Drosophila melanogaster: one gene and its partners. The protein of the gene in region 1 binds, or shares a complex with, the protein of each later gene. Each region holds a gene or a part of one and is shown on either strand. Other genes may lie near its edges. The genes, in order: dgt5, msd1 and dgt3.

Region 1 (3,755 bases):
GCCGACGACGAAATGTTGGAAACCGTTGACAAGCAGGATGTTTTCCAGCTACCCGTCGAAGGCGAAGAAACCGAGAAGGACCTAACCCTGCAGGAAGTGCAACAGCGCATAAAGGACGTCAGTCTGGTTCTTTCCGACTTCAAAAGGTATCGTCAAGCGGATAGGTCTCGCGGGGAGTACATCGATTTGCTGCGCAGGGATCTGTGTTTGTATTACAGCTACAACGAATTTTTGATGGAGAAGCTGATGGATATGTTGCCGCTGACAGAGCTAATGGAATATCTGGAGGCCTCAGAGGTTAGTATATTTCATAAAAAATATAGTTACAAGATTAATCATTAAAAATTAACCCCTTTAGATTGCTCGTCCCCTAACCATACGCACCAATACTCTAAAAACACGTCGTAGGGATTTGGCCGGAGCTCTGATCAATCGTGGCGTCAACTTGGATCCCCTTGGTAAATGGACGAAAGTTGGATTGGTTGTCTTTAACTCACAGGTGCCACTGGGTGCAACTCCAGAGTATCTGGCTGGCCACTACATGATCCAGGGCGCCTCTTCGCTGTTGCCTGTAATGGCACTCGCCCCGCAAGAGAACGAACGCATCCTGGACATGTGCTCCGCCCCAGGTGGAAAGGGATCCCACATCGCAAGCATCATGAAGAACACTGGTGTGCTCTTCGCCAACGATTCTAACAGGGATCGCATCAAGGCCATTGTTGCCAATTTCCATCGCCTGGGAATTGTAAATGCAGTGGTCAGCTGCGAGGATGGCACTAAGTTCCGGAATATTATGACTGGCTTTGACCGTGTCCTGCTGGATGCTCCGTGCACTGGAACTGGCGTCGTCTCTAAGGATCCCAGTGTGAAGACCACCAAGTCGGAAGTAGATGTACAAAGGTGCTACAACCTGCAGAGGAAGCTTCTGCTGACTGCCATAGATTGTACGGATGCGAAGTCATCAACTGGCGGCTACATTGTATACTCAACTTGTTCGGTGTTGCCCGAGGAGAACGAATGGGTCATCGACTATGCACTGAAGAAGCGAAATGTCAAACTTGTGCCCACTGGTCTGGACTTCGGCGTGGAGGGCTTTACCAAATTCCGTCAGCATCGGTTCCATCCTAGCTTAAACCTTACCAAGCGCTACTATCCGCACACCCACAACATGGACGGGTTCTACGTGGCCAAGCTCAAGAAATTCTCCAACACCATACCCATAACTAAGGAGCAGCAGGAGGAGGATGAAAAGCAGCTGGATGAGGCCATCGAAGCGGACGCCACTACAGAAGCGGCTGCGGAGTCTGAGGAGGTGGAGGAGGAGGTAGCGTCAAAGGAGAAGGGTCCCCGAAAACTGCTTGGAAAGCGCGCCGGAAAACCCAGTTTCACCGAAATCGAACAGGAACTGAAGAAAAAGAAGCGGGAAGAGAGCAAGACCAAGTATGTGGCCAAGGTGTTTGAGCAGCCTGTCAAAAAGCCAAAGCCAGAAAAGCCAGCAGAGAAGAAAAATGAGAAATCCCAGGCACCGGACAAGCAAACAAATTCAAGCGAGTCACCTTCCAAGTCTGCACCTAAACAAAAACAAACCAATGGGAAAACCACTGTTTCCAATTCAGATGCGAAATCATTCAATAAAAAGAACAAAGGATCGCAACCCAAGGAAAATGGAGCCGGATCACCAGCTAAACCAGATGACAATAAGCCAACAACCAATGGCACAAACTCCCCTAGCAAATCAGCAATTAAGGAAACGAAAACGAAGCCACAGCCGAAAGGAAAACAGTCGCCCAAGGGAAACGCCAAACTGGCCAAGGCGCCGCGAGTGGATATCGACGATGTGCCCATTCTCGAGGGAAAACCCATCAAGAAGCAGAACAAGCTGAAGCAAAAATCCAAACAGATCGGCCAGCTGAAAAAGTCCACGGCGGGTGCGAATGCGGGAAAGAAGCAAAAGTTCAAGAAGTGAACACCTTAGATCCAGTTTTGTTAAGTAGACTATAAGCGTGTGACATATAGTTGGGGTAGTCCCGACGCGATTACCAATTTTATATTGCGAACTGTCTTAGCGAACGATTGAAGATTGAACTACAACAGCGGTGTAATTAAGATTCAATAAACGTTAAGATCGGTTTAATGTACTCACCAAGCGGGTTTATATAGGTGGCAGGCACATTTCATTAGAGGTAATTGCTCTACATTTCAAATGTGAATTCTAGTATTGACCAAGCTGTCACTATCAGCCCCAAAGCTCTATAGGTAGTTCGAAGGTGGCCGAGCTCAGCAGAGCGTTGCGATAATCTGTTGTTTCATTGTGAATCGAGCGAGCTTAATGGGATGTTTACTTTTACTGTGCTCTTGCCTGGTGGCATTATTCATTCCCATCCAGGCAATAGTGGACATCAACGTGGCAACGTCGAACGATATTCACAATAATCTCAATAGAACAACATCACCGTGCACGAATTTCTGGAATTTTGCCTGCGGTCGCTTCTCCAGTGCCTCTAAATATGTGGACAACTTTGAGCGAGTCGAGGATCAGTTCGCCACTGCCATGGTGGAATTCATGGAGAGCCACTTGGGTGAAAACGATACACTGGCACCCCGACTGATAAAGCAAATGCGACAATACTACAAGGCCTGCAAGGAGGATACGCGAAAGCTTCACGGGAATCCTCGTCCCGAAGAACTGGTCAATCAGTGGATTTTGCATCCTAAAAAATTTCTCGTATACGGCTTGAATGGTGTATTCATTGATGAGCGAGTTGATGTGGCCGCCAATGATTCCATGCGTTGGGTTATTCAGTTAAGGATGCCTGACCCGGCTGATAGATATAGTGACCGCCGTGTCTTGCAGCTCATGCGCCTTTACGAAGAAGCGTGGTACTCGATGGGAGTGGTTAAACTGGTGGAGAAAATGCATCAGCTGCAGGATAAGTATCGTGCAGAATATCCTGTTGTATATACATGGAGTTTCAGTGAATTAAGGCAGGAAATCCCTATTCCGCATTCCTTTTTTATTGAGTTATTGGGCGTGAACCACACCGAGGAGCTTTATCACCTGACTTTCGAGGTGAGTGATGTTGAGTATTTGCGGGAATGTTTTCGCTGTCTACGGGATTTCGCCAGTGAGCCGAAGGACACGTACATTCGAGCACGCCAATATGTTTTAGTGGAGGAGTCGGAGCCAAGGGAGCGGAATCCAAGAAGCTGCATTCACCATATGCGTGCCTATTTACCCCTGGGCATGAACTACATCTATGATCGATTTATATACCAAAACCGGGAGGAGGATACCAGTAAGGTACTGGAGATTTTATCCACTTTAAAGGCAGCTTTTGGCCAATATTTAGATGCCAATCGCCTGCAGCTTACGCCAAACCAGTTGGCCTATGTAAGAGCAAAGTTGGAAGGTATTCAGATCAAAATAGGAAATTTGCCTGAGGAGAAATCTCCTGAGTTCTATAATAACCACTATGGAAGTGCGAACTTTTCCGCGACAAACTTCCTGGCCAATCTCCTTGAAGCATTTGCCCTACGTACCCGTCTCCAGAATGCTGGACTGCTTGCAAGGAATTCTCGAGTGGATCTGCGGCACTATTATGTCAACGATAACGTAAGGAAGGCTCGCACTTCTCCCTTCTATGAGAACGAAAGGAACACCATTACTGTTCCCATGGAATTTTTGCAGTGGCCCTTGTTCGATCACCGAGAGCACACCATCTTCCAGCACAGTCTTCTGGGCGCAGTCCTGGGCC
Region 2 (3,079 bases), on another chromosome or scaffold:
TTATAGTTGGGAAAGTTACTTACTCATTATTCAAGTATTAAGTATTTTTAGTATTTATTTGCGTAAGTTGAGAAACAGCTTAGTACATTGCGCATACGGTCACACTGCTACCTTGCTGTCTTTTTCTTGCTCCAGCACTTTTACATAATCTTGAAAACTCAGCGTAAATATCGCCCAAAATACGAGACCTGCACTCGTGCACCGTCTGCAGAGATGCGATACTAACCCGCTGCGTTTCCGTTGCAGGAGAACCGAGATGTCGTTCACACAGATCGCGCGCAGCTGCAGTCGACTGGCGGCCACTTTGGCCCCAAGGAGGGTCGCCTCCGGCATTCTCATCCAATCACAGGCCTCCAGGATGATGCACAGGATCGCCGTGCCATCGATGACCAGCCAGTTGAGCCAAGTAAGCGAACGTCCAAAGCGGTCCCTTCCGTTGCAGGAGCCCCAATCGCAGTTGAGGACCTAACCTCATCGCAAACGGCGGGGTTTCGTGATCTACGAGTTTCAAAACATTCAATTAAGTGCTTGCAATCATGAACGCAACAGAAGATCCTCGCCATGTGGCCGTCGAACCACCCAATTCGATTGCATCACATTATTTTGCATAAAACATGATTGTTTCCCTATCGCACACACACACACATACACCTGCAACACCGGTGCTCGCACTTGTGTGCGGTTGATTGTACTACAGTGAAAATCCTCTAGAAGTGACCTTAAAATGTAGCGGTTTTAAAACATGTGATTTCAGTTTGTTAAATATCTAAATATGTTTCCACGCCAATCCAAGCAATAGTTTTCGCGGTATTTAATCAGTTGATCATACACCATCGAACCACCCTCGTTTAAATTGCGTATATATTTACACTGCTCATTGAAGAATTAGCTAAGTTGTATGCACCATAAGTCGTAGATGAACTACCAATGCAATTATTCATATAGAGACGAAAATTCACTAGACATTAACATTCGCAGAAGTTCGGTGTGCGCAGCTACTCGGCCAAGAGCACCATCGAGGACATCAAGTTCCGCGTGCTAAAGGTTGTCTCCGCCTACGACAAAGTGACCGCCGAAAAGGTAAAGTACCCATTGCATGGCGCCACTAATCCGGTCTTTGTTTCCTTCCTTTTTTTCTCGGGCCGGCCAAAAACCAGGAGTGCCGTGGTCGCTGGCAAACGCAATTGGTGCGCAGATACTCGGCGAAACCGCCGCTCTCGCTGAAGCTGATCAATGAGCGCGTCTTGCTTGTGCTCAAGCTCTACGACAAGATCGATCCCAGCAAGGTAAACGCCACATATTGCCTTTGCCAGTGCAATGGTCGCCTCAGAAATCAGAACTGAACAAAGCTGATGAAACCTTTGAATACCCAATGCTAATGGCTCGCATTTACAGCTCAACGTTGAGTCGCACTTCATCAACGACTTGGGACTGGATTCCTTGGACCACGTGGAGGTCATCATGGCCATGGAGGACGAGTTCGGTTTCGAGATCCCCGACTCTGATGCCGAGAAGCTGCTTAAACCTGCCGACATTATTAAGTACGTCGCCGACAAGGAGGATGTGTACGAGTAAATTGTAATTGTAATGCAAGCCATTGAACGGATTACACTTAAATTTAAATAGAAAACAAGTCAAATACAATTTGATCAACTGAATAAACCAAACGTTAAATTAACTTGTAGTCAGCAATTGTACACGAGGGCTATAATTAACTGCGGAATAGCAGCTAATAAATTAACTATCCAAATAAATAAACGAGTCATTTAGTACTGGCGGTTAAATTTAAATTTCGATAGAAACGTTGGTCTTTCGATTGTTTTAGAAAGCCTTGTGTATTTTAGATACGCAGCGACGGTCACGTTAATCTGCTAGCATTACAAACAGAATATTCGAAATGTCAGACGCTGTGGACAAAATGTTGGCGGGAATGGGTAAATATATCTTTAAACCACCGACACGCGTTCTATTCCGTGCTTCCAATTTCAGCGGCCAATCGGCAGACCATGAACCGCCAGCTGGCTAAGATAGACGAGATAATGGAGCGGTCGAACAACACATTGCTCCACATCGAGTCCAACAGCAAGGCATTCAGTCAGAATGTGGCTTTGTCGGAGACCCAGAAGATGTACAACCTCAGGCCGGAGGCTGAGATGACCCTGTCCAAGATCCTGGAGAACTTCAAGCTGCTCATGTCTAGCAGTGACCAGCGGGAGGAGACATACAGCGCTCTGGAGGGCTGCCTGGCCTACAGGCATCGCGTGGAGCACCTTGGCAGCTCCGTGCGTAAGCTGGTGGCGCTCTACGACACCGTGGGCCAGATGAAGAACTCACAGGAAGAGCAGTATGCCAGCGAGGATTCCCCCTAGCTCATCCATTTTTAGAATTTATTATTATGTTATAGTTGAAAAATAATTTAAATAAATTAAACATTTGATTTGTATTTAAAGCTCTTTAAGCGAGGTTTTCAAATCATGGCCATATTGTAGCTGCTGACTTGGAGAAGCGTATAGGTAAGCACCTCTACGAACATCTCCAGGCGAGCGGCAAGACTCCCGGTGGCGAGTATCTCATTGGGATTGGGCAGCTGGAGGCTGTTGGAGCGCAGGTAGTTGAGCTGTTCCATATTGGCGGCTATGGTCAGAAGCTTCTCCTGCTGCTCGGATGTAAAAGCATCTGGCGGAGACTCACCGCCGGTTGGCATGAGCTTTTCCAGCTGCTGCGCAAATCCATGGAGCTGCGTCAGCTTCTGCTTGTATATGGATTCTGTGGTGTCCAGAGCGGCTGCCTCGTCGTAGATCTTGGCCAGCTTTCGCTGGAAACCCTTAAAATCATTGTACACGTCCACGGCACTGCGCTGCTCCTCCAGACGCGTCAGACTCAGCGAAACGTTGGATGTGTTGATGCCCATGGCCACCGACTCGTCTGCTCCTCGCAGGAGCGTTGAGTTGGTACGTTGTAGCTCCCGCTTCTTGGGCATTTTCTGCAGGTTGGCCGGGTACTCTTCCAAGGTCTTGAAGAGCTCCGCATAGTCGGCTACCGAGCTAAGATCCCTCGGGGGCGTAGTGGCTGCTGCCTC
Region 3 (3,755 bases), 8.5 Mb from region 1:
AGAAACCGATTAACCGTTAGTTTAGCAAGTATAATTGAATTTTTTATAACAGCAACAGCAAATAAAAAGCGACGGAATTTTTCTCAAAATGTTTTGTACGGTATTTTTTTAGTGACTGCCCGTCGCTGGCCATATTTAGCAGCTCTTCGCTGCGAATGGCAATGGCACTGTTATCGATTAATCGGCCATCCCTATTGGCACAATGATAGTGGGTTTTTGTTTTTTGAAATTTTATTTCACACACTCCGTACATCGGTTACAAAAATCAGGATAGACCCTTAATCAATAATAATGCATCCTTGGGATTACTTGGTCGGCTGCTTCGCTTGCTTCTCCTTCTTGGCAGCCTCGGCCTCCGCCTGTACCTTTGTGTACTTCTCGATCAGCTTCTCCACATCGGGTTTCTCCAGGACACTGTATACGGTCTTATTGTCCACACGCTGCAGCGTGGCCATCTCGACCTTCTCCGGGGTCAGCTTGGTGGTGTCCAGGGTCATGCTCAGTACCTTGATGGCCAAATCCTTGGCGTCCGCCAGCGTCAGCTTCACGTTCTCCTTATCGGCCAGCTCCTGCTTCAGCATGGAGATCGCGGCACCGAAGTTGTTGCCAATACAGGTGGCCTTCCATCCGCCGTAGTTGCCGCTGGGATCCGACTGGTACAGTTGGTAGCCGTACTTGTTGTCCCATCCCATGTAGAGCAGCGAGACGCCGAAGGGACGCTTTCCGCCGTACTGAGTGTACGCCTGTTTGATGTCGCAGAGGTGCGACACCAGCTGCTCGCAGGGAATCACCTCGCCGTAGCTGAACTGGTAACGCTGGGCAATCAGACGCAGTTCTGAGGTCAGCACATTGGCATCGGAGGTGATGCCAGCCACCGAGCAGACCATGTTGCTGAGGGAAAACAAAGAGGCTTGGATAGAGATAGATTCGTAGAGAATGTAGTGGGTAATTAAGATCATGGCCAGTTAAATATATGGCCTGTGACCCTTGAATTCATCGTAGGATATACTACTGAAATTTCAACTCACTCGTTCAGGCGATAGATCTTCTCCGAAGGAATGGCGCTGTCCAGCAATTTGTTTGTGCTGCGGCACTCGGCTGCCAACAGGATGCCGTCCTCGGCGAGGATTCCGAGGCAGGTTCCGGCGTGCGAGATGGCCTCCATGGCGTACTCCACCTGGTACAAACGGCCCTCCGGCGAGAAGATCGTGGTGCGGGAATCATAGCGGCGAGCCTGGGAAAATACACGCAAGTCAATTACTACCACGATTGCTAGCCTTCAATGGTCATCGGCCCAATGGTGGCTCTCAGACCAATACCGGTCTTCTGGGCGCGGTACTTACCATTGCTAAGGAATATACCAATTTACAAGTTTATTTTGCAAAACGAACAGAATTTACTTGTCATTCAGTGTAGGGTTGCCAGACTGCCACACGAAGTGCGTCCAAAGCGGTACCAGGGCTGCAAACTAGATGGCGTTAGGGTGTTTCTATTTACCAGGGGTGGTGTGCACGTTTATCCACATATCGATATAAGGTATTAAAATCATTTTAACAAAGATCAATTTATAAGCCCTTTAAGATTGAGGTGTACTAAAACATAATATTTACTTGAATTAAACTTAAGAACTTGTGTCAAATTTAGAAAAATTGTATCCTTACTTCATAGCAAAAATTTAAAATAATTCATATATAAAATATATATATATAATAAACAGAAATTTATTATATATATATATATATATATATATATATTATATATATTATATATATATATATATATATATATATATATTATATATATTATATATATATATATTTAACAGAAATAGATAAGAGTAAATATTTCATGAAATCGTTGATAGGAAATCAGGAATTTCTACGATTTTTATTAAGCTTAATTATTAAGCACTATTTCCTGTTAATTTTCAAAAGGTACCATCTCTAGTAACGTCTCTGAAACCTTTCGATATAACCGATAAGTAATCAGCTTGTGTTGTCATTTTTTTAAAAGATGGGCGATCTGCTGAGCGTATGTGTGATGATTTAATTAATGATCAGCTTATAATCGCCATGATTGCAGAACTCGGAATTCTTCAAGAAGCTGGGAGTGGACAGCTCGAACCAGTGGATTCTGTACGATGAGCAGATGGAGATGTTCTTCAAGTTCCTGTCCGGGAACATCACGGATGCAAATATCCTCACAGAGCGACAGGTTCTGGAGCGGGAGGAGATGCAGCGGCGGGGCGAGTGGCTAAGTGCTTCGGATCGCGAGCTCAAGCTCCTGCAAATCGAGGCCGAAAGTCCGGGGCTTCTCAACTACAAGCAGCAGGATGTCGACGCCTTGACCATGAGCATTGAGGCGATCGAAGATGCCTCAAGGGATTATGCTACGCTTCTGGAAGATATGATGTAAGGGAAAAACTGTAACCTTCCTCATATATGTTCGATCGATGGTCAATCCACTTTTGCAGGACCACAAAGCACTCGATAACTAAGCACCTAGGCGAGGTGGAGTGCGTCACCGCCGAGTTGCAACTGAGGGAGAAGGATCTGATAGCCGAGTGCCAGTCCAAAGCCAAGCAACTGGAGGAACTGCAGCAGGAGAACTGCCGGCTAAGCGCCGAAGCCAAAAAGGCATTCACCGCCCCACAGTTGCCGCCTCTATTCATGCATCAACTGCCATTGGAGCAGTATTTCCACAAATGCGATTCATTTATGCAATACTTTACTCTGTATGTGAAGGAGAATTTTAAGATCCAGGACTATGATGAGTTCCAGAGCGCGGAGGAAGATCTTGGGCGCGAAAAGGCCAAGCTGGAGGACTTGGAACGTGGGTAAGCACAAAGGTTCTGTGCTAAAAACAATGCACATTAATTGATATGACCGTTTTTACAGCATCCAGTTTTATGCACTATCCTACATAAGAACAAAGGCCAAGGTGAAGGCCACGCAGTGTCTTATTGACCAGTTGGATCTTGGCAAGATTCACTGCCTCAGTTTAACGGACATGGCGCGTGAAATGCACGATCTGCAGCTGCTCAACGACTATCAACTGAGCAATACACACGATACGCTTTTAAACGATCTAACCATTCACATTCAGCAGCACACCCAGCGACGTATTGAGCTGGTTCTCTACGAGAACACTAAACTGAAGTTGGAAAGAGCTGTTCGACGTCATGAAAGCGACAAGAAGCTCACTAAAATCATCTCAGATGCTCTGTCCAATGCGGAATTGCTGTGGATTGCGATCCAACTGGACTGCGACAAGAAGCGCAACTGCCTGGACACTTCGGAGGAGTTGCGCGACCAAGCGCAGGCCACTTGGCAAAGAATCCAGACCATGCGCTCCATTAACGCCAGTTATCAGGGCATTTGTGCCCAGTTTGTGCAGGAGATTGCCAATTTGTTGTCAGCCCACTTGGGACAGAACATAAAGGCAACTGAGGCCAAGGCTTGTCTCTTCGAATACGAAAAGTTCGGTCGCCTGCTGTCTTACTCCTTTCAGAGCATGCTGAACCGAAAGTCGTGTGCTGCTGTTCAGGATCAACTGGCAGAACTGTAAGTTGCAATACTTAACTTTGATACAGATCGTTTAAGCTATTAATATTTTTTTTTAGCAAGCGCTTGGAGCAGACTTTGCGGCCGTTTGTCTATGATTCCCCATTGGAGCAGCCCATGTTTGAGAACGTTCGCTACTTGAGCGCCATATACAATGTCACCCAGCAGCAAACTCGCCTGGATGAGTCAGGG

The links.
Region 2: dgt5 (region 1) and msd1 share a complex: the UniProt entries of both Drosophila melanogaster proteins name them as parts of the augmin complex.
Region 3: dgt5 (region 1) and dgt3 share a complex: the UniProt entries of both Drosophila melanogaster proteins name them as parts of the augmin complex.

What each region holds. Positions count from the first base shown.
Region 1 is NT_033778.4:12,469,586-12,473,340, forward strand, and holds the start of dgt5 (dim gamma-tubulin 5), read right to left. Parts: upstream 2,191-3,755; 5' UTR 2,144-2,190; intron 2,138-2,143; exon of another isoform or gene 1,967-2,137; coding exon of another isoform or gene 359-1,966; intron 298-358; coding exon of another isoform or gene 1-297. Other genes in the region: CG8545 (uncharacterized protein), read left to right, coding at 1-297, 359-1,966; Nepl10 (Neprilysin-like 10), read left to right, coding at 2,330-3,755. UniProt on the Drosophila melanogaster protein: As part of the augmin complex, plays a role in centrosome-independent generation of spindle microtubules. The complex is required for mitotic spindle assembly through its involvement in localizing gamma-tubulin to spindle microtubules.
Region 2 is NT_037436.4:1,329,885-1,332,963, forward strand, and holds msd1 (mitotic spindle density 1), read left to right. Parts: upstream 1-1,859; 5' UTR 1,860-1,897; coding exon 1,898-1,934; intron 1,935-1,989; coding exon 1,990-2,369; 3' UTR 2,370-2,442; downstream 2,443-3,079. Other genes in the region: ND-ACP (NADH dehydrogenase (ubiquinone) acyl carrier protein), read left to right, coding at 257-406, 979-1,065, 1,158-1,286, 1,396-1,575; msd5 (mitotic spindle density 5), read right to left, coding at 2,468-3,079. UniProt on the Drosophila melanogaster protein: As part of the augmin complex, plays a role in centrosome-independent generation of spindle microtubules.
Region 3 is NT_033778.4:20,992,582-20,996,336, reverse strand, and holds the start of dgt3 (dim gamma-tubulin 3), read left to right. Parts: upstream 1-1,955; 5' UTR 1,956-2,013; coding exon 2,014-2,031; intron 2,032-2,082; coding exon 2,083-2,411; intron 2,412-2,473; coding exon 2,474-2,836; intron 2,837-2,897; coding exon 2,898-3,563; intron 3,564-3,622; coding exon 3,623-3,755. Other genes in the region: Prosalpha3 (proteasome alpha3 subunit), read right to left, coding at 306-891, 1,029-1,234, 1,344-1,346. UniProt on the Drosophila melanogaster protein: As part of the augmin complex, plays a role in centrosome-independent generation of spindle microtubules. The complex is required for mitotic spindle assembly through its involvement in localizing gamma-tubulin to spindle microtubules.